Linked DNA regions of Elephas maximus indicus. The protein of the gene in region 1 purifies or fractionates together with the protein of each later gene. This does not show direct contact. Links are inferred from orthologs where the notes say so. Each region holds a gene or a part of one and is shown on either strand. Other genes may lie near its edges.

Region 1 (7,236 bases):
TTTTGGCAGTCCATGGTATATTCAACATTCTTTACCAAGAGCACAATTCAAAGGTGTCAATTCTTCTTCGCTCTTCCCTATTCATTGTCCAGCTTTCACATGCATATGACACAATTGAAAATACCGTGGCTTGGGTCAGGCACACCAGAGTCTTCAGGGTGACATCTCTGCTCTTCGGCACTTTGAAGAGGTCCTTTGCAGCAGATTTACCCAACACAATGTGTCTTTTGATTTCTTGACTGCTGCTTCTGTGGCTGTTGATTGTGGATCCAAGTAAAATGAAATCCTTGACAACTTCAATTTTTTCTCTGTTTATCATGATGTTGTTCATTGGTCCAGTTGTGAGGATTTTTGTTTTCTTTATATTGAGGTGCAATCCATACTGAAGGCTGTGGTCTTTGTAAGTGCTTCAAGTCCTCTTCACTTTCAGCAAGCAAGGTTGTGTCATCTGCATAACGCAGGTTGTTAATGAGTCTTCCTCCAATCCTGATGCCACATTCTTCTTCATATAGTCCAGCTTCTCGTATTATTTGTTCAGCATACAGATTGAATAGGAATGGTGAAAGAATACAACCCTGACGCACACCTTTCCTGACTTTAAACCAATCAGTATCCCCTTGTTCTGTTTGAACAATTGCCTCTTAATCTATGTACAGGTTTTCAGGAGCACAATTAAACGTTCTGGGATTCCCATTCTTCGCAGTGTTATCCATAGTTTGTTATGATCCACACAGTCAAATGCCTTTGCATAGTCAATAAAACACAGGTAAACATCCTTCTGGTATTCTCTGCTTTCAGCCAGGATCCATCTGATATCAGCAATGATATCCCTGGTTCCATGTCCTCTTCTGAAGCCAGCCTGAATCTCTGGCAGTTCCCTGTCAATATACTGCTGCAGCCATTTTTGAATGATCTTCAGCAAAATTTTGCTTGCGTGTGATATTAATGATATTGTTCTATAATTTCCACATTTGGTTGGATCACCTTTCTTGGGAACAGGCATAAATATGGATCTCTTCCAGTCAGTTGGCCAGGAAGCTGTCTTCCATATTTCTTGGCATAGATGAGTGAGCACCTCCAGCGCTGCATCTGTTTGTTGAAACATCTCAATTGATATTCCATCAATTCCTGGAGCCTTGTTTTTTGCCAATGCCTTCAGAGCAGCTTGGACTTCTTCCTTCAGTACCATCAGCTCCTGATCATATGCCACCTCTTGAAATGGTTGACCATAGACTAATTCTTTTTGGTATAATGACTCTGTGTATTCCTTCCATCTTCTTTTGATGCTTCCTCCATCATTTAATATTTTCCCCATAGAATCCTTCACTATTACAACTCAAGGCTTGAATTTTCTTCAGTTCTTTCAGTCTGAGAAACGCCAAGCGTGGTTTTCCCTTTTGGTTTTCCATCTCCAGCTCTTTGCACATGTACATATAAGTGGAGTCACACAATATTTGCCCATTTGTGACTGACTTATTTTACTCCGCATAATGTTTTCAAGGTTCATTCATGTTGTATCACTGTATCAGGACTTCATTTCTCTTTATGGCTGAAGAATATTCCATTGTATGTATGCAGTACATTTTATTTATCCATTCATCAGTCCACTAGTTTTTAATCATCTTATTCGCTGTATTCGATTCCTTTTGGCTAAAGAGTAGTATTTACTTCCAACACTGAACCTAAGTGATATGTAGTAGGCTACTGAACAGTCTCACTTTCACTATCACTAGCATCCTTAAATGACCATTTACTTTTGTTGAAGCACTACCAGCACACACACAAAAAAACCGAACCCATTGCCGTTGAGTCAATTCTGGCATGGTGACCCTAAAGGACAGTGCAGAACTGCCCCACAGGGTTTCCAAGGAGCAGCTGGTGGATTCAAACTGCTGACCTTCTGGTTAGCAGCTGAGCTCTTAACCACTACTACCAGCACAGGCACCCATTATCTAAGATAGAAATCTTAACTTCTCCCTTTTCCTCACCCCACATCCAAATTCCGACCAGTTTATTTTAGATGTACCTCCTAAAGAGGTTTTGAATCTGTCCTTCCATCCCATCCTTACTGAAACTGCCTTAGTTCTGCTATATCCTACCTGGATCACTGCAAGTTTCCTAATTAGCCTCTCTGACTCCAGTCTTCAGCCTCCCAGTGCATTTCCTACGTCCTTGCTTTTCTGAAATGCAACTCTGTGCCTGTTATTCTCCAGCATACATTTTTTAAAGGTTCTGAACTGCTTCACAACAATAATTTCGTGGCCTTTGTTCCTTATGCCAAAAAAGCTCTCTCTCCTCCATCTTTACCTGGTCAAGAAGTTCACATGTCTTCTTCTCCCTTCATCTTCTCCAGGGTACTTTAGGTTAGGCTCTCCTCCTGTGTGCTCCTACAAACATTCTGTACTGCTCCATCGAAGCCCTTTTCACTCTCTGTTGTAATGGTCTATTTACCTCTCTTTTCTCCCTACTAGACTGTGACAGCAGTTACTTGATAGCAGTGCCATTTTCTTTGTCATACCTGAAACCCTAGCAAATGAGCACATAACCAGTCCTCAGTAATGTTTATTGAACAATAATGTTTTAAAAGCCTATTTTCTGATCAAGCTGAACCTTTGTATAATCTATTATTGAGATTCCACCAGATTAATTTCTTTTTTCGTTCAAATGAGTGTGGCTAAGTCTCACCTTAACTATTCCCACTTTTTTTTTTCATTTTCTTAATTTAAAATCTGTGTTGTAGGCATTCACTCCCAAGTATGGGAAAAACATACTTCACTCTTTCATTTAGTCAATATTTATTTGCATCTAGTAGGTACCAGGAACACAATGATATAAAATAAAAATCTTAAAGAAAATTCTAGAAGTGTGAATTGTATGATTTTGAAGTTCTAAGAAAACATAAGCTGATTTGACTTAATAATTACATTTTTAGAGATCCAAACAGTTGAGAGATTTCTAAAACTATTTAACTGGCTTTTGAGTTTTATTCCCTCCACCCCCAAAAGTGAAAAACTGTATGTAACTATAGGCCAATTTATTCAGCATTGATAGTGGAGTAAATGAAAGTCACTGGTTAGCCAGTATGCTGTTGAAACAGTTGCCTATCACTAGATATTTAAATTACACCAAGTCAGTTGTTTCTAAGTCTAAAGGGGCACAAATCAAGGGTCTTGGAGCCCTGGTGGTGCAGTAGTTAAGAGCTTGGCTGCTAACCAAAAGATCAATGGTTTATCAGCTGCTCCTTGGGAACCCTATGGGGCAGACCTACCCTGTCCTACAGGTTCACTATGAGTTGGAATCGACCTGTAGTCAATGGTTTGTTTATTTGTTTATTTTTAATTATAAAAGCAAAGTGTCTACTGTATTTGATTGGCCCCTCTAGGGATGCTCAAAAATAATTAAGAGGAGACACAGTCTCTGTCTCTCTCGTAATTCCATTTGAAGCTAACATTCTGGGAAATTGTTTAAAAAATAAAACTATAGACTTCTGAAAGATGAATCCTGGTTCCATTATAAACAAGGCATGGGTACAATAAGGAGACAGTAAGAGGGGCAATCTGCTTTACAAGCCTTTTGCAAACAGCTTCACAGAGGACTAGCCTGGGACAAACCTGTCAAAGAAATGGACAGAGATCCATGAATGCCACCAGACCGCTTCTCCCAAGGAGAAGCAGTTAGCCTAAAAGACCTACGGAATGATGGGGAAGATGAAGGGAAAAATTAATTGGAGGACCGCTCTTCTCTGTGGCAACACGCGGAGAGTTTACTAACGACACCAGAGGATCATGAAAAGGGAACGAATAATGCATTTACAAAATCGCTACATTACTCTGGGGAGAAACTTCAGCCCCAGCCCCAGTTCCAGGAGGATGTTTGAGCTTCGCACTCACCATGCCCCCAACCGACGCCCTCGGCCGGGACGCAGCGCCGCCTCACCCTCCCGCCGCTCTGCCCAACGGTAACCTCCACAGCTGCGAAGCTGTTGCTAAGGCCGCTCTCACGCGCCCGCCCAGCCAACGCCCTTACTGATTGATAATCACTCCATCCAATAGGCAAAAAGAGAAGGTTCTTGAGCCAGCCCCCCTCTGTCTACTCTGTACCAATAGCGTGTCGCTCCCGCCTTTCCCGAGCTGAACTTTCCTCTCTGGTTTCTTAGCGACCAAACCAGCCGGCCCAGCCATATTGACCCCTCCCCTCGCACATGCGCAAACAGTGGACGGGGAGGTGGACGCGGGTAAGGGGGCGCGTTCGCCTGGGCGCGTTCGCAGCTTTCTGGTCCTGCACCCAGCCAGGACCGACTCGACCCTGTGTAGGGATGGAGAAAGGAGAGAGGTTAGTAGCGAGGCGCTTCCACCTCCACCGACTGCTAAGGCTTGATGAAGACATGGGGTGTGGGGGGGAAGCCTTTGTTTGTCTTTCTGACCTCTTGGAGCTGGGGAAAGGATTAGAATCTCCAGCCTGGTGGGTTTTAGGGGAATTGACCCAGGCTAGTTTTATCATCTGGCTGGGATTATTTTCCGCGCCTCTGGGCATGCCTGTATACCTCCACAATGCCTAGAGCATGGACTTTTGCCACTCTTCCACCCTGGTTTGGGCAGGGCTTCAGGGTCCGGTTGCCGTGTAGTGGATTCCGACTCGTGGCACCCCCACGTGTATTAGAGTAGAACTGTCCTCCGTAGGGTTCTCAACAGCTTTTTTTTTCTTTTTGAAAGTGGATCACCAGGCACCACTGGGTGCACTTGAACCTCTGTTAGATTAGCAGCTGAGCGAGTATTTAACGATTAGTACCACCTAAGGACTCCACTATGGAGCCCTGGTGGCACAGTGGTTAAGAGCTTGGCGGCTAAGCAAAAGGTCAGCAGTTGGAATCCACCAGCCGCTCCTTGGAAACGCTTTGGGGCAGTTCTGCTCCGTCCTATAGGGTCAATGAGTTGGCATGGCAATGGGTATTACGGTTGGAAGCCCTGGTGGCTTAGTGGTTAAGAGCTACGGATGCTAACCAAATGTTTGGCAGTTCGAATCCACCTTGGAAACCATATGGGGCAGTTCTGCTCTGTCCTATAGGGTCACTATGAGACAGAATCTACTTAAAGGCAACAGTTTTTAAGGACTCCACTGAAGCCCTGGTGGAGTTGTGGTTAAGAGCTCGGTTGCTAACCAAAAGGTCAGCAGTTCGAATCTACCAGCCACTCCTTGGAAACCCTGTAGGGCAGTTCTGCTCTGGCCTATAGGGTCACTATGAGTTGGAATCCACTTGATGGCAACGGGTTAAGGACTCCTCCAAGAAGCCCAGCTGGTGCCGTGTTTAAGTGCTCTAGTAACTGAAAGGTCAGAGGTTCAAACCCAGCAGCCAATCCCACGGGAGAAAAGACATGGTGGTCTGTTGGGGTAAAAATTTCAGCCTAGGAAATCCTGTGGGACAGTTCAACCCTGTCCTATAGGGTCGCTGTGAGTCCGTATCAACTGGAGAGCACACAACAACACAAGGACTCGTCTGGCTGGATAGGCGTGGGGCAGTGATTTGGTAGGAAGGAGGTGAGTATGGGGACAGCTTTTACTTAACTGTGTGTTTATTTGCTGCAGACTCCTCCTCCCCACCCAAGAGATCTGGCTGGTTGTTCAGCCACATCAAGTGTAGCCACATCAAGTGTAGATCCTCACTCCTGAGTAGGCCACAGGTAGCCTGATAATCCGGTTGAACTCTGAGGCGTAGATGCCCATGTAACTGCTGTAAGCCAAAGCAAACTCTTGTCCAGAGGGAGAGACCTGATAATTTTGGCCAGTCCTGCTGAACTTGGCCAAAACCCATCCCATTGCCATTGAGTCGATTCCAACTCACAGGGACCCTATAAGACAGAGTAGAACTGCCCTATAGGGTTTCCAAAGAGCAGCGGGTGGATTCGAACTGCTGACCTTTTGGTTAGCAGCTGTAGCTCGCCATACCTGTTAACCACTGCCACCAGGGCTCCGAACTTGGCCCAGGACCAGCTAAAAGAGTGGGGGAGAAGGACAGTGATAGAAAAGAGCCCTGACTTCCTGGTAGGAAGGAAGAGGTGATATAGCCTCTTAAAACTGACAAAAACACAGCAGGGCCTTTTAGGCTTGCTACAGTGCCTCCTCTGGAGTGCTGGTGGCTGCAGCGGTTAAGAGTTGGGCTCCTAACTAAAAGGTCAAGCCATGCCTTCTCTAGAGTAAATATTTTCTAAAAATCATACTGGACTCTCCAACAGTGGATTCAGGAAGAATATTCAGTTCTGCCTGGTCTTTTTCCTTTGTCTCACTTATCTCATTGAAGTTGGAGCAAGAAAAATGTGCAAACTACATTCTTGAAACAGTCTCCTAAATCACTTTTCATGGTTTGGTAGCTAGAAACATGGCACATTTTCCAAAGCCATCTGCCTGCCATATTCACATTATATCCCAAGCTGTGTAGTTTTGTATGTTACTTAACCCTTTGTTGTTGCTGTCAAGTCAGGGTCTCACTTATGGCAACCCCATGCACAACTGAACATTAGGCTTCTAGAACATAGATAAGGTTGTTCTAATTTTAGAAGTGATTTTACTGCATGAAGTTACCCCCTAAAACCAAACCAAGCCACACCCACTGCCTTTGAGTGGATTCTGACTCATAGCAACCCTATAGGACAGACTAGAACTGTCCCGTAGGATTTCCAAGGTTGTAAATCTTTACAGAAGCAGACTGCCACATCTTTCTTCTGAGGAGCAGCTGGTAGGTTCAAACCATTAACCTTTGGGTTAACAGCCGAGTGCTTTAACCACTGTGCCACCAGCGCACCTTGAAGTTACCCCAGTCGGAATTAAAATGATGTAAATTCAAGATATTTTGTGAATTAATGCAATTTTCAGCCAGTTAACTGTAATATATTGATTTTTCAGGCCATTAATCTCATCTGGAAAGTTGTTCTTGCTTGGCTTTAAGGTCATATACTTCGTCTTTAGTATGAATATTAAAGAGAGTTCTGAGACCCAGAAACGAATAGTGACCGAGTCCTATGTACCCAACTGGATTCTAATTTCTAGACTGTCTCTTACTCTCCTGAATCAAGTTTGATTTCATGGCAGTTAAAAGGCTGAGCAGTATGTTAATCTACTTTTTCATCATTCTATGATTTAGGCCCTTGATATCTGGGGTATTCTAGTTAAAATGGTTGTTTAATGATAAGCTCAGATTCCAATTTCCAGGCTTTGGGTAGAAAGTACTCGGTCTTGAAAAAC
Region 2 (7,687 bases), about 970 kb from region 1:
GGTATCACAACACACTGAATACAGAAAATAAATGAGCATTCGGCTGTCTTTGCTACCAGGCATTATATTAAAATATAAAGCAATGCCTTTCTTCCTGCTAAATTCTTTTTTTGTTTTAGAAAATACCTTCTTTTCACAAAAATGATTATATAAACATGCAATGGATTTATTATTTTCAAATAAAATAATTAGTATTTTAAACAATTCTCAGTTTTAATTTTTATATAAGTATTAATGGATATAATCTATATAAACAAAAGTTCTTTAAGATCATCAGTAATTTAAGAGTGTAAAGGGATCCTGAGACCCAGAAGTTTGTGAATCATTGATCTAATAGGCTGAATACAATAAATGACAATCAGAAACCTACTGCTGTATCTTGATATATACCGTACTCACTTTGAAGCTATTAAAATATCCTATTAGCCTACTAAAACCCCCCCAAAACCAAACCCGGTGCTTTCAACTCAATTCCAACTCAAAGCAACTCTACAGGACAGAGTAGAGCTGCCCCATAGGGTATCCAAGGAGTAGCTGGTGGATTCGAACTGCTGACCTTTTGGTTAGTAGCTGAGCTCTTAATGGCTGCGCCACAAGGGCTCCATACTAAGAAATTGTAATTGCAGAAATCATAAGATAAGTATTTCTATAAAAATAATGATACTATTAAACACAAATGTGTGTAATTATTTACTTAAAGTTTCAATTCCTCTTAGAGATATGAGAAAGTTTAAAGAAATCATTTTGTCTATATCCTATTTTACATTTCCTTCTCCATATACACAATATGATACACACAGAGTAAATTATTAGCAGAAAAAACTATATTATGGTTTTTAACTGGTTTGCTAATATGATTTACTAATTACACATAATGCAATTATAATGTGCAAGAAAATTATTGTGTGTAAATGACCCTTGGTATTCTGACCTCTGTTCAAATAACAAGAAATTCAGTTCCAATTTACTATTAGCATTTTTAAAAAAGCAACTTAACAATGATGAAGGAAATATAAATCTTTCTCTGTAAAACATTATCCATACAGTACCTTTTGTGTAGCTCTATGTTTTGAGGCAGGAAGTAGCTTCATAGTCTTCTGAGCGGTCACTCCTACCTAAGAAAACACACCAGCATTTGCTAAATGTTCTCTTATGCACTGCAATTTGAAGTTATTACATCAGATGTAAAAGAATCACCAGTTTCATATCACAGTGAGTCTTTTTTTTAAACTGCAATTAATGATGTAACTATTATTATCAATGACAAACTTATATTCTAATGAATTATGTCACAAAAGAGAGAATATAGGAAAATAACCAAAAATAGCAAAATATATCCAGAGAGTTGTCAAGCCAAAAATAATTATGTGGCATTACTGGTAAGGTGCTTCACAAAACAATACTTCTAGAAGCCTTTTTTATAAATTCATACTACTTGTTAAAGAGTTTTTTTAAGTGATTAAAAATCTTTGGAAATAGATTAGCTTTATTAAAAACGAAACAGAAAAATTTTGCTAAAGTACCAGACATGCTGATGACTTGATAACATCCAATCTAACTAATGGTAAAGATTATTTTACGTAAGGTAGGGAGGATGAAAACACCATGGCTTGTTCAGCAGGGAACTGTCACTAGTGGTATATACTTAGATGAGAAGTATAGGGCTATTGAGAGAGAAGCTGGAGAAAAAAAAGATTAGGAAAGAACTATGAAAGAACTTACATGTAATACAGATCTATGATTTTATTCTGCATTCTGGGGTGTAGTATTAACATTTAAGGTAATAATCTCTTTAGATTTGTATTTTTGGAATACCAGTCTAGCAAGTAATGCGAAGAATGGACTGAAGGTAGGTGAAACTGCAGGCCAGGAGCCCAGTTAGGAGGTTATTTCAATTATCCAAGCCAGAGAAGATGACAATCTGAACTGGGGTAATGGCCATGGGGGGAATGGGACAGATTGAAGAAACATTTAGAACATAAAAGCAGCAAGATATGGTGGCCAGTTCAACGTGTAAGAGATTAAGGTGAGAGTACCTAGCATGACTCCCAAATTTCTAGCTTGAGGGAAACTGACTGGGCAACCATTTGTACTATTAATCTAAATAGAGGAGATGGGAGAGACAGATAACGAATTCAGTCTTAGATCTATTTCGAGGAGGCTGAAAGAAATCCTGAGAGAAAATGTGGTGTAAGAGAAAGAAAAACTGTGGAATCCAAGACTTTGTTTCAAATAGAGACTCTCCATCATTTCTGGTATTAAGCAAACTGCTTACCTTCTCTAAGCCCCTGGATCCTCATCTGTTAAGACTATCCACTTTGCAGAATCTTTTATGAGGACTAAATATTTACGTAAAACTCTTAGAATGAACTAGATGATCACTAATGGGTTGCCACTGCTTTTCTTATGATCTGCCTGGTGCTGTCCGGCTCAAAGTTGGGACCATGGGTCTGGCGCTCGGGAGAAGGTGCGGGGTAGAGACAGATCAGGGAGCTTCAGGCCCACAGGGAGCCGCAGCCGGGAAGGCGGAGGAAAAGGGCCCTAAAGCGAAATCCGGGGAGAGCACCCTCAGCAGGCGCCAGGTCCGCGGGGGCGTGTGTCACTTCTTTCCAAGTCCCAGCGGACCGTCACCCACCAGCCGGACCTGCCCGCTCCCCGCGAGAGGGTCGCCGGGAGGGCGGTGCCCGGCCGGGCTCTTTCGCGCCCAGCCCGCGTCCGCACCGGGAGACCCGGACAGAGGTCTGTGGAAGAACGAATCCTCTCAGGGCGCGAAGCTCAGCCAGCGCGGCGCTTGCCCCACCCCCTCGGATTTACCTGTAAATAATCTGCTCGGTTTAAATTCAGATCCATGACGGCTGCACTGACGCGCCGGGCAGCGCCGGGCCAGAACAGGAAAGACAGGCGCTGCGGGCCCTCAGGCCTCGGACCCGGCGACGAAGGCCGCCCGCGTCCCCCTCTGAGGTGCAAGCCCACGTACCGCGGCCTCCGGCGGGGGATGCAGGGGTAGGGCGTCGGGGCAGCAGCGTCGGTCGTGACGTCAGTACGTTCACGTGAGTAGTCCCTGGACGAAAATACGCCCCGCCCACGCGCCCACAGCCCGCCTACTACCTTAACCTGCTCCAATCAGAGGCGGTGAGGAACGCAGGACACGGTCCAGGGGACCAAGGTAGGGCGGTTTCCAGGGAGACAAGAGACGCAGTCTTGGCTCCAGCCCTTTCCCTTTGCCCTGCTTTCCTAGCTCTTTCCCTCAGAGCATGCCTCCTGCTGTGTGGAGCTCAGGTTTGAGTCCCCGGTCGACTCTAACCTACTTCACTTCGTTAGTGCGAAGGGAAGAATTCGGCTCCACCGTTATAAGCGTTAGCTTACAATAGCAGTTCTCAAAATTCTGCCCTCAGGGCTTTTTTACAAAACCCTTAAAACTATTGAGGACCCCAAAGAATTTTTGTTCATGTGAGTTTTCTACTGATATTTACTGTATTAGAAATTAGAGCTGAAAAATTTTTTAATTCATTAAAAATAAACCCATTGCATAGATTACATTTTAATGAAAAATACAGTTTCCAAAATAAAAAGAATGGCGTTGTTTGCCTCTATTTATTGTTTGCCTTAGTAGTAGACAGCAGGAGTCCCAGATCTGCTTCTGCATTCTATCTATTGCTATTTGTTATTTTTGTTGAAGTATATGGAGAAAATTTGGTCCAAACTAGTCAAGTAGTCGTTTTTGAAAGGTTAGTTGCAATACGGAGTCTGGCTTCATGATACAGTATCAAAAAATCCTATTTGTTAAAACCGCCACAAATCTCATCAGAAAATTCTTGAAGCATGGGAAAGCTGTCAAACTCATATGGTAGATACAAATTTTCCAAAATTCTAATTTATACTTGAAAACCCGAATTTTAAGCATGGGCGACAAATGTCAGTTGTTTTCCTTGAGCCGATAGGTTCCTTCTTGAATTAATGAGAAAACGTATGCTAAATAACAAGTCCAAATAATCTTAGTTTGTCAGTCGTTCTTTGAAATAAAACTAATGTTCCATGAAAACAGCAGAGTTCTGCTAGCAACTCATATAATCACACAAGTGCATTTCCTTGAGACAATGTACTTCAGTATTCAGCAGAAGTGCTTTATGCGTACTTCCCATGTCATCCCACAATATTAAAAAAAAAAAAAGACATGTACTCAAATTGAGGCTTAAAGTTAACAATCTTTACTGCTCCATGAAGGCCATGTTCATATAAAACCTTATTTGGTTTCCTGCCAGTGTGTGGCATGAAGGATACAGTGCCTACTAATACAGTTTGGAGACATCGTCTTGATTCATACTTAGGCGCCAGCAGTCTTAACCTCCATTGCTTTTGTACCATCAGTGCAAATGTCAACACAGCGAAAAAGGCAAATAATGTCTTTGTGTTACTATGAAGATAGTTTCAAAATTGCAGACCCCAGAAAAGGCCTAAGAGAACCCCAGGGGTCTGCAGACTACACTTTGAACATCACTGGCCTTTTTTTTTTTTATAGTGACCTAGAATCTGACTGAGAGCTGACATTCCTTGACTCACTTTTGTCAATTCTTCCTTAGTTCACAACGCGATCTGCCTGTCAAAATTCAGATGAATATGATAGAGCCCTTTTCCTGATTTCTGTGATCTACTACAGAGGAGGGTTCACAAATGATTGTGAAACAACACAAGAAGAATTAAATCCCTGAGAAAAAGTGAAATTAGGAAGAGAACTGAATTCCTGCAGAAGGATCTGAGAAGATTTTTGCCTAGGGTTTTTCCAGGGTGTTCTGGCCAATTCCTTTTCTGAGGCTAAAATAACAGACAACAATACATGAGGATGGGTTACCTGTTCAGCAATTTGGGGAAAATACATCTATCAATTTAGACTTTACAGAAAAATACTTATCAGAGAAATTTTAGAAGTTAATAGAGAAGTAAAACCATACAGGAGATCAGAGGAAATAAAATTGTGTAGAATTTTATAGAATTTAATATGTTGGAAGGGAATTGTCTCGTCTCAGAGGGAATACAAGAAACCACAAACAAAATCAGATATGAGAAGTAATGATGAATCATTTCTATGTCACAAAAATAAAAAAAAAATTAACAAAAATTTGGGAAAACATTTACAAAGAGTTAACTTCTTTAAACAAATTAATAAAATTAAGAAATACTATGACTCCAATAAATGAACAGGTAACGATATGAATAGACAGTTCACAAAAGAGGTGACTACTGAACAAACATGTAGAAAACTACTACTCTCACTGTAATCAATCATATCAAAGCAGGATGTCTTTCTATTTTGCCTTTCAAATTGGAATGTAGGTTTAAATGATAACACTGTATGCTGTAAGACACACTCATCAACTGCTTGTGATGGCATAAACTAGTAATAAAACCTTTTTCAAAGTCACTTTAGCAATAGGCATGGCAACCTATAAACCTAACCTTTTACCCCATAAACCTAACTCTGAATATTTAGTCTATGAAAACAACAGGAAGTAGTTAAGAAGTCATAATTGAAACAATCTTTAAATTAGGGACCTAACTGTCCAATAATGGGGGAATGGTGCATCGACTCTGTGGACTATATACAAGTGAAAATAATGAAGGCTGTATAGCAATGTGAAAAGCATTCCAGTTATACGGATAAGTTAAAAGGCAGGAAATAAAATGGTGTGTATACTATGACCACAATTACGTGAAAGGACTGTTGAGAAATACATTAGGAAGTTTTAGTTGGTTATTAATTGAAAGATTATGGGCTTTCACCCCCTATTTTTTCTGTTTCCATAAAATGCTTGCATAATTTGTAATAAAAATTTCCATTTTTTTATTTTTTTTATTAACTTTTATTAAAGTTTCAAGTGAACGTTTACAAATCCAATCAGTCTGTCACATATAAGTTCACATACATCTCACTCCCTACTCCCACTTGCTCTCCCCTTCTTGAGTCAGCCCTTTCAGTCTCTCCTTTCGTGACAATTTTGCCCGCTTCTCTCTCTCTCTCTCCTCCCATCTCCACTCCAGACAAGAGTTGCCAACACAATCTCAAGTGTCCACCTGCTATAATTAGCTAACTCTTCATCAGCGTCTCTCTCCCACCCGCTGACCAGTCCCTTTCATGTCTGATGAGTTGTCTTCAGGAATGGTTCCTGTCCTGTGCCAACAGAAGGTCTGGGGACCATGGCTGCCGGGATTCCTCTAGTCTCATTCAGACCATTAAGTTTGGTCTTTTTATGAGAATTTGGGGTCTGTATCCCACTGATCTCCTGCTCCCTCAGGGGTCCTCTGCTGTGCTCCCTGTCAGGGCAGACGTCGATTGTGGCCGGGCACCAACTAGTTCTTCTGGTCTCAGGATGATGTAGGTCTCTGGTTCATGTGGCCCTTTCTGTCTCTTGGGCTCTTAGTTGTCGTGTGGCCTTGGTGTTCTTCATTTTCCTTTGCTCCAGGTGGGTTGAGACCAATTGATGCATCTTAGATGGCCGCTTGTTAGCATTTAAGACCCCAGACGCCACATTTCAAAGTGGGATGCAGAATGATTTCATAATAGAATTATTTTGCCAATTGACTTAGAAGTCCCTGCAAACCATGTTCCCCAGACCCCCGCCCTTGCTCCGCTGACTTTTGAAGCATTCATTTTATCCCGGAAACTTCTTTGCATTTGGTCCAGTCCAATTGAGCTGACCTTCCATGTATTGAGTGTTGTCTTTCCCTTCACCTAAAGCATTTCTTATCTACCGATTAATCAATAAAAAACCCTCTCCGACCCTCCCTCCCTCCCCCCCTCGTAACCACAAAAGTATGTGTTCTTCTCACGTTTACTATTACTCAAGATCTTATAATAGTGGTCTTATACAATATTCGTCCTTTTGCCTCTGACTGATTTCGCTCAGCATAATGCCTTCCAGGTTCCTCCATGTTATGAAATGTTTCACAGATTCGTCACTGTTCTTTATCGATGCGTAGTATTCCATTGTGTGAATATACCACAATTTATTTACCCATTCATCCGTTGATGGACACCTTGGTTGCTTCCAACTTTTTGCTATTGTAAACAGAGCTGCAATAAACATGGGTGTGCATATATCTGTTTGTATGAAGGCTCTTGTATCTCTAGGGTATATTCCCAGGAGTGGGATTTCAGGGTTGTATGGTAGTTCTATTTCTAACTGTTTAAGATAACGCCAGATAGATTTCCAAAGTGGTTGTACCATTTTACATTCCCACCAGCAGTGTATAAGAGTTCCAATGTCTCCGCAGCCTCTCCAACATTTATTATTTTGTGTTTTTTGGATTAATGCCAGCCTTGCCGGTGTGAAATGGAATCTCATCGTAGTTTTAATTTGCATTTCTGTAATGGCTAATGATCGTGAGCATTTTCTCATGTATCTGTTGGCTGCCTGAATATCTTCTTTAGTGAAATGTGTGTTCATATCCTTTGCCCACTTCTTGATTGGGTTGTTTGTCTTTTTGTGGTTGAGTTTTGACAGAATCATGTAGATTTTAGAGATCAGGCGCTGGTCGGAGATGTCATAGCTGAAAATTCTTTCCCAGTCTGTAGGTGGTCTTTTTACTCTTTTGGTGAAGTCTTTAGATGAGCATAGGTGTTTGATTTTTAGGAGCTCCCAGTTATCTGGTTTCTCTTCATCATTTTTGGTAATGTTTTGTATTCTGTTTA
Region 3 (7,671 bases), on another chromosome or scaffold:
GTTAGTGCTTCATTACGGAAAAGATCAGTGGGGAACTTCAGACTAGAGGGATCAGGCTGTTAACCCACTTATTAATCTTAGCAACACTGAAAGCAGAACCACACATTATGTGTAAGGCAGCGTGATTCACTAGGAGGTGCACATACCACCATCCATGAAGTATTGAAAAAAAACCCCAACCAAACCCAGTGCTGTTGAGTCGGTTCCGACTCATAGAGACCCTATAGGACAGAGTAGAGCTCCCCCATAGAGTTTCCAAGGAGCGCCTGGTGGATTTGAACTGCTGACCCTTTGGTTAGCAGCCGTAGCACTTAACCACTATGCCACCAGGGTTTCCCCATGAAGTATTAATGCTTAAAAAGGAAACAGATTTGAAGCAAGCCTCTGTTCTAAATTCCAGGTTATAGGAAACAACATAATGAGGATGCAATCAGCCAAATTCAGAATGTGGAAAATTAAAAATGGCCAATGGGGAGGGGAAATGTCGTAGATGAAAAGACACGCATCTACCAAATGCAATGTGTAAACCTAGTTTGGATTGTGATTCCAACAAACCACCTCTAAGACAAGCTGTTTAATGACAATTCAGAAATACGAACACGGCCCTGGGTATGAGATGGTATCAGAGGGTCAATGTTAATTTTTTCAGTGTGACAGTGCAATTGTGGCTATGTGTGAGTGTGTTTTTCCTCGCTTAAAGATACATATGGAAGGGATATATACTCTAGCTTGGAATATGCTTTAAAACATTCCAGCCCAAACCAAACCAAAAAAACCAAAGGAAGGATACAAGAAGACTGGGAAAATATGGATAAGTGTTAAAGGTGAGTAATGGATACTTGAGAGTTCAATTAGTTTCTCTATTTTTGGATAAGTTTGAAATTTTCCATAATAAAAATAACAATAAAAAATAGTAAGGGGCAACTACAGCACAGTCTTCAGGTGTACTAAACCGTTAGGAATCCGTGTCTAACCGAGTCTAAATCCGGCTTTTCCTTTTGCTTCCCAAGCCTGTGTAAGGATTTGCTTCCGCTTGCTTGCCTGGCAGCGCTGGCCTCTAAATCTTCTAACTATTGCAGTGCTGACATCGAAAACCTCTAACATTTCCGAAGAGACAATTTCTTTTTTCAGTTTTACTTTTCCTCTAAGTATGCCTTAATTAATGATATGTTTTGTATTTCTTTTTGTACAAGGAGAAACTACTTTTTTTACCTTTTTTCTAAAGTGTGGCTGTACCAGGCCCCCAAATGCTTATGACTTAAAGGACAAATATGATGTCATAAGCGTGATATACATACAGACAGTCCCTGACTGCTGGCAGGGCTCTGTTTCAACGACTCCATCTTAAAGTAGGTTCTGACCTAAGTCGAATACCTCTTTTTTTTTCCCTCTAGTTTTCATTATTATTGCCTTTTATTACAGTATCTTTACAAATCTGATCTTTGAACATCTGAGAATGATTAGCATCAGCAAATTAAGCACTAAAACATTGTATGTAGTATATATTATCAATACAAAAAAACCCAGATGGTGGTAAGCGCAGTTCATGGTAACTCCAATACATAGTAAGTCAGGGCCTACATGTACTCTGTAATGATCTCATTAGTCTGGAAGAGGTTATACATAAAAATCAAGCATTTCATAAGCTCTTTAACTCCCTGTTCATGTCCACTAAAATCTCACTATAAATACACATTTTATACTCAATGTCTAAGGTTTCTCTTATAAGTTGTTAAATTTCTGACATTTTAGCACCTGTCTTTTAATATTTATGGTCTGATATTTTAATCCCTGCTTCCCCCTTCTCCTTAAGAACATTTAAGGAGAAAATAAAAGCTTGATTTAAAATAATACTGTATAAGATAAAAATTTTAAAAAATACTATAGCCCATAATTATATAATAGTTTTATCACAAGTCATAAGCACACACTTAACAGAAAAATCTTAACAAGATCCTTCTAAAAGGAGCAGAACCTTATGACCCACCTTATGCCAAAATTTAAACCATATTATTATTCAACTGAAGGTCAAAAGGTTCAAAAACGGTATATTAGAATAGAAAATGTTTTCTAAATATAGAGTCCCAGTTTTCTACCTGAAACCCTCGGGGCCATGATTCAAAATTCTTAAGAGTTTTAGAAATACAGTATAGTGTTTATTACGAAACTCATAATCAAACACAACAACTCATCTGTAGTGAAAATAAACATTCACATTAAGTGGGCTAAAATTACAAATTATTACGTTAATTAAGATCAAGTTTTGCTGCCAAAGGAATTACGGCAAAAAACTCTAGGTTTTAGAGCTTTTTGGACTTTGGAATTGTAGATAAAGAGCTACACATATGAACTGTGTGACTGCATCCTCTCATCTCAGACTCTCAAAAGTAACAAATTATTTTGATCAGATGCTAAGGAATTAACACAATAGTGTTGTACCGGAAAAGAGCTTTTTCCAAGTTACAGACTTTTAAGCTCTGTAATGGAGTCTGTGGGCGGTGCAAACAGTTAAGTGCATGACTACCAGATGAAAGGTTCAAGTTCACCCAGAGGTGACTTGGAAGGCAGGCCTGGAGATCTGCTTCTGAGAGGTCGCAGACTTGAAACCCTACGGAGCAGCTCTACTCTGCACACGTGGGGTCCCCATGAGTTGGAATCAACTGGAAGGCAACTGACAACAAGGCAATGGGTTTATGGCCCGGAGTCAGCTGCTTCTCTGTACACATTCACGATCCTGGTGACACTGAAAGGGACAGGAAGAGTACTGGATCCATAGTCCTGTACCTTTTCATGCAAATGACTCTTCCAAACAAGTGTCAAAGGTCTCTGTGCAACACACACTTCTAAAAGCAACTGCAGAACAGTGGGTCATAATAAAAACAACAGGGCTAACACGCCACCTTAGCTTTCTCTTGCTAGAGCTCTATTATGAGATCAAGTTCCCCATGAGTGGAAGGTACCATGTGGTTGATCACATTAAATCCAACTTACCTGAAGGCTGCAAGTCTGCTATTTCCCTTGGGTTTTGATCTTCTGAGGACTTGTAAGAGCCAGATTATCTGGCTCAGGAATGTTGTCCTTATTAGGTATTTGGAAAATGGGGCTGCTTTTGATTTTGTACCACCCCAGATGTATGAGCCCAACTACTGGTATCATAACAACCAGAACTTTGTAGTCTCTCCAGAAGGTCTGAAAGCTCATAGTACTTCAGCATCAGGGCACCTAAGAAAAGGTTAACAGTTAACAGAAAAAAAAAAAAAAAAACATATTACACTTGTAAACCACAAGTAGCATAAAAAAAAAAAAAGTAGCATATCACACTCTAATAAAGGCTGACTGCTGAACATTTTTATAGTATACTACAATGTTAATTAACAAAAAGAGATACACTGTAGGCACAGAAGGACAGCAGGAAGTCACATCTGAGAAACTTATAAAGCAATACTGAATTTTTAGTCAGGAATTGTAAAGAAGCAACATTACCTACTGAGAAAGCCATATGAACCTTTGGAAACACTCATCACGGATATCATTTTAAAAGTATAATCTCTGAACCACAATGAAGTTAGATCTTTTTTTTTTTTTTTAATTACATTTAGTCACAACCGTAACGGAAGAATCAAGTGGTAATCCTGAACTATGCAGTACAAATTTAGGCTCTAATTGTCAAATGTTGTATTATATATATTTTTACAACAACAACAAACAATTCAGATTCTGAATTCTGACAGCATGTAAGTGATAGTGCTCCAACTGAGGCTGTCAAACACGGATTCCAATCGCAGCAAGAGTTCTGACTTGGACTTCTGGCTTGGACTTCATGAAATTTGGATGAATTACTGTCATCTGAACACTTATGTGCCAAACCCCTTGCGTTTTATAGTGTTTAGCCTGTATTACTAATAACCCTACCCAACAGGGATTATTGTCAACCCACTTTACATGAAGAAATTGAGGCTAATAACTTCCTGGAGTTACAAAAAAAAATTTTTTTTTCAGTCTTTAATTTGGCAAGCATGAGGTTGGACCCAGGAAATCTGTGTTCTGATGATCTGCTGGGTTTGTGAACTCAAGTCCGTGTAACCTCCAAAGACTCCTCCTACTTTTATTTAAGCAATGCTCATTAGGCTTCAGTGTTGGCTATACAGACTTGTGATATCAATGACCCCATTTTCCAAGTTCCTTTTTGAGCATAGAAGGATAACACAGGGCTGCTCAGTCTATGGGACAGGCTAAGGATTTGGTTCAATTGCACCTATATCAGTTTTAGTATCAGGAAATCTCCTAAATTACTGTAATTCTGTAAAAATGCTGTTAGAAAAAATTTTCTACTTACTCTTCACCTTCTAAGTCAAGATTAAAACTTAGACCAATGACTAAAATAGCCTGAACTATCTCTGCATTCCATGTATATATTAAAAATGAACAGAAGGCTTTAAGTTTTAGTCTACATACATACATTACTCCCAGCATTAGAATCTGTCACCAACGTCCTAATTCACATTGCATAAAGACTCTGTTGCTAAACTTAAACCACTGGGTGGAGAAGACATGACCGACTTTGTAACTCAAAGTATTTTATGGTCTTTCCCTTTCATAAAGTGCTCTGGGATCTCAAATGCTTTCTGCGACCATCAAAGACCATACCTTTTATTGACAAGTTTATGTTCTATTTTGGGGGAAAATCAATCACAAATTACTGCATCGTGATTAAATTTCATTGTGGTGCAAAAGTCTTTGGAACATTTGAGATAATATAAAATTTTAAAATGTGAGTTTGGACACAATTGGGGAGGTACTGGGTCATCTGAGGTAACAAAGGAAGAGCTTTCTTAAGATTTACTTCCTAGAGGGGTGGATAAAGGTGGAGAGGCTGTGCCAAAGACAATCAGCTTGTCTTGACTGACATTTGGCATTTCTGCCCACTAAACACCTTGAACTGAAGGTCTAGGAGGTATCGTCTTTCATGTCCATAAAACTTGTTGCCCTCGAGTTGATTCTGACTCATAGCAACCCTACAGGACAGAGTAGAACTACCCCATAGGGTTCCCAAGGAGCGGCTGGTGGATTTGGATGGCTGACTTTTGGTTAGCAGCCGAGCTCTTAACCCCTGCATCACCAGGGCTCCCTTTCACGTCCAGTCTCAATACTTAAGGTGACTTTAGCACCTCTAATTGTCATCCTCAGCATGAGGTTATCAAGCCACACTATTTTTAATAGATGGTATCCTTGCTATTTACCATATACTTCTCCATGATCACTAATATAACACTGCATTTGTCAGCTTTTTCCTGAATCATAAACATTTGGGAAAACTAATCTTAAAAAAAAAAAAAAAATCTTAGAAGAGAGAAAATTCTCATCGTCTAAAATTAGTGTTTTGTAGCTACTAGTCACAGTTTGGTGATCTTGGACCAAACTCAAAATCAGAACCACACAGGTACACTGTTGAATCTGAGTCATGAAGTGGCATTCCAGGCCCCTGGGCAGCTGGTGGCAGCCACAGCATGGACTCTGCTTCCTCTTCCTCGCAGGAGAAGGTAGTCTTGTTGACACTGAGGTTGGTTTCTGGACATGAGCCTGATGCTCTCAGTAGAAATCTGTCCAAAATGGTAGCTTTCCACTAGGATCCCCTCTTGCATAGGTGAACAAGGGTGACTAGCAGCTTTAGGCTCCTCTGAGAACTTGCAGCATTTGCTCCTGTCCCAGGCGGTCACCTTGCTTCTCATAGGGTTTCACACACTTTATGAACCAGATTCAAGCTTACCCTCTCCATCTTCTCTCTGTACAATCCTAACAATCTAGAACTCACTTGAAATCCCTGGTTACAGAAAAGAGAACAGTTTGGATAAAAAGATATAATAGTAATAAAGTTGGGATGAATACCTCAATAACTAAAATTTGGAAAAAATTAAACTACGACCTGTAACAGCAATCAATATTCAGGTTTTGGACTGTTCTCCCCTTCAAGACCACAGTATCTAACGTGAGGTACTGTGAACCTTCCTTTCTATTGACGTTCAGTTGATTCCAACTCATGCCGACCCCATGTGTTACAGGGTAGAACTGCTCCAACGGGTTTTGTTGGCCGTAATCTTTATGGAAGCAGTTTGGCAGGCCTTTCTTCCACAGAGCCATTGGATGGGTTTGAATCACCAACCCTTAGGTTAGCAGCCAACTGCGAACAGCTTGTATCACCCATCCTTGAACCTTCCTTAAGAAGAGTAAAAATAGGGTCTCAGATTAAGTTAGCTCCCTACCTTTAGTGAATCTTTGGGTCATTCCTAGGTTAAAGACAAAGTAAGTGCTCTACTTTGTTTATAGATTATTTAATAGTCTACTGTTCTTTTCAATCAGATTAATTTAAAGGTCTATATATCTTTCCCTAGATTTAGATTTAGTTAAATCTAGGTATTACTATCTATTTTCATTGAAAACTCTTTATTTGCCAAACATCACTGAGGCCTTCTACAGTACTTCCTGCTTTGTAAACGATGTAGACCAATTTAGTGATTAATTGCTTTAACGTTTACTCAATACCAACATGTCCCATCTCCTCAAATTCGCTGTATCTCATACATTGATTCGGCTAATGGGGGTGAGAGAGCAATAACTTTTCCGGCAGATTATCCTGTTACCCTTTGAGAGGCTTGGAAAATGATTATGGTCAGGATGATAGGGCTTTTTATGTACAAAGTACTATTAGGAGTCTTCCCGTTTAATCCACATAAAAACACTGAGAACTATCACTCAGTACATGTAAGAATCCATCTCTACCCAGCAAGATGGAACTAGCATTCTTTTAAAATGACATATTAACATCATGTCTGGCAAGTTCTTATTTTCACGTGAGGTATATTAAGAGACTGACAGCGGTATCCTAACATTTTCTCCAAAATCAGAGAAAAAGAGTCTATATCCTCCAAAAAATATATCCATGATGATTATAGATTTGATTGTGTCCCCCCTCCCCTACAAAATATGTGTTGGAATTCTGACCCCTATACCTTTGGATGTATACAATTTGGAAACAGGGTTCTTTGTTACGTGAACAAACCTATCAGTGTAGGGAGTATCCTAAACCTAAGCGCTCAGAGTGACAAAGGAGCAACACAGAGCAAAGAAGCACAAACAGGGGAAGGACAGATGTCATGTGGAGGTCACCAAGGAACCAAGGAACCCTGGGGCTAGAGAAGTTGAGACAAGGGTTTCCCCCAGAGCAGAGAGAGCCTTCCCCTAGAGTTGGTGCCCTGAATTCAGACTTCTAGCCTTCTCAACTGTGAGAAAATAAGTATCTGTCTATTAAAGCCACCCACTTGTGATACTTCTGTTACAGCAGTACTAAGAAACTAAGACAGTGACTTACTAACAATTGTGATTAACTGGGCTAATTTTTGGAACCCCTGGTGGCACAGCGGTTAAGAGCTACAGCTGCTAACCAAAAAATTGGCAGTTCAAATTCACCAGGTGCTCCTTGGAACCCTATGGGGCAGTTCTACTCTGTCCTTTAGGGTTGCTATGAGTCAGAATCGACCTGATGGCAATGGGTTTGGTCTGGGCTAATTTTGGTTCAGTTTTATTTGGCTTAGTTCTTAGTATCAAATGAACAGCAAAAGATTAATGAACAGAAGAAGCTTGTTATAACCAAAAAACCCACTGCTGTTGAGTATT

What was found. The genes of interacting proteins can lie anywhere in the genome.
Region 2: the proteins of BBS12 (region 1) and BBS7 purify together in Homo sapiens (co-immunoprecipitation; 3 studies listed by BioGRID and IntAct, counting the BioPlex papers as one, with this or other methods). This does not show direct contact. The link is inferred for Elephas maximus indicus from reciprocal best matches to the Homo sapiens genes BBS12 and BBS7.
Region 3: the proteins of BBS12 (region 1) and McKusick-Kaufman/Bardet-Biedl syndromes putative chaperonin-like purify together in Homo sapiens (co-immunoprecipitation; 4 studies listed by BioGRID and IntAct, counting the BioPlex papers as one, with this or other methods). This does not show direct contact. The link is inferred for Elephas maximus indicus from reciprocal best matches to the Homo sapiens genes BBS12 and MKKS.

Annotation. Positions count from the first base shown.
Region 1 is NC_064823.1:24,363,673-24,370,908, reverse strand, and holds the start of BBS12 (Bardet-Biedl syndrome 12 protein), read left to right. Parts: upstream 1-4,223; 5' UTR 4,224-4,332; intron 4,333-5,076; exon of another isoform or gene 5,077-5,535; intron 5,536-7,236. Other genes in the region: centrin-4, read right to left, coding at 3,891-3,893. UniProt on the Homo sapiens protein: Component of the chaperonin-containing T-complex (TRiC), a molecular chaperone complex that assists the folding of proteins upon ATP hydrolysis.
Region 2 is NC_064823.1:25,335,739-25,343,425, reverse strand, and holds the start of BBS7 (Bardet-Biedl syndrome 7 protein), read right to left. Parts: upstream 3,013-7,687; 5' UTR 2,851-3,012; coding exon 2,815-2,850; intron 1,116-2,814; coding exon 1,050-1,115; intron 1-1,049.
Region 3 is NC_064843.1:49,215,077-49,222,747, forward strand, and holds the start of McKusick-Kaufman/Bardet-Biedl syndromes putative chaperonin-like, read right to left. Parts: upstream 3,013-7,671; 5' UTR 2,992-3,012; intron 1-2,991. UniProt on the Homo sapiens protein: Probable molecular chaperone that assists the folding of proteins upon ATP hydrolysis. Plays a role in the assembly of BBSome, a complex involved in ciliogenesis regulating transports vesicles to the cilia.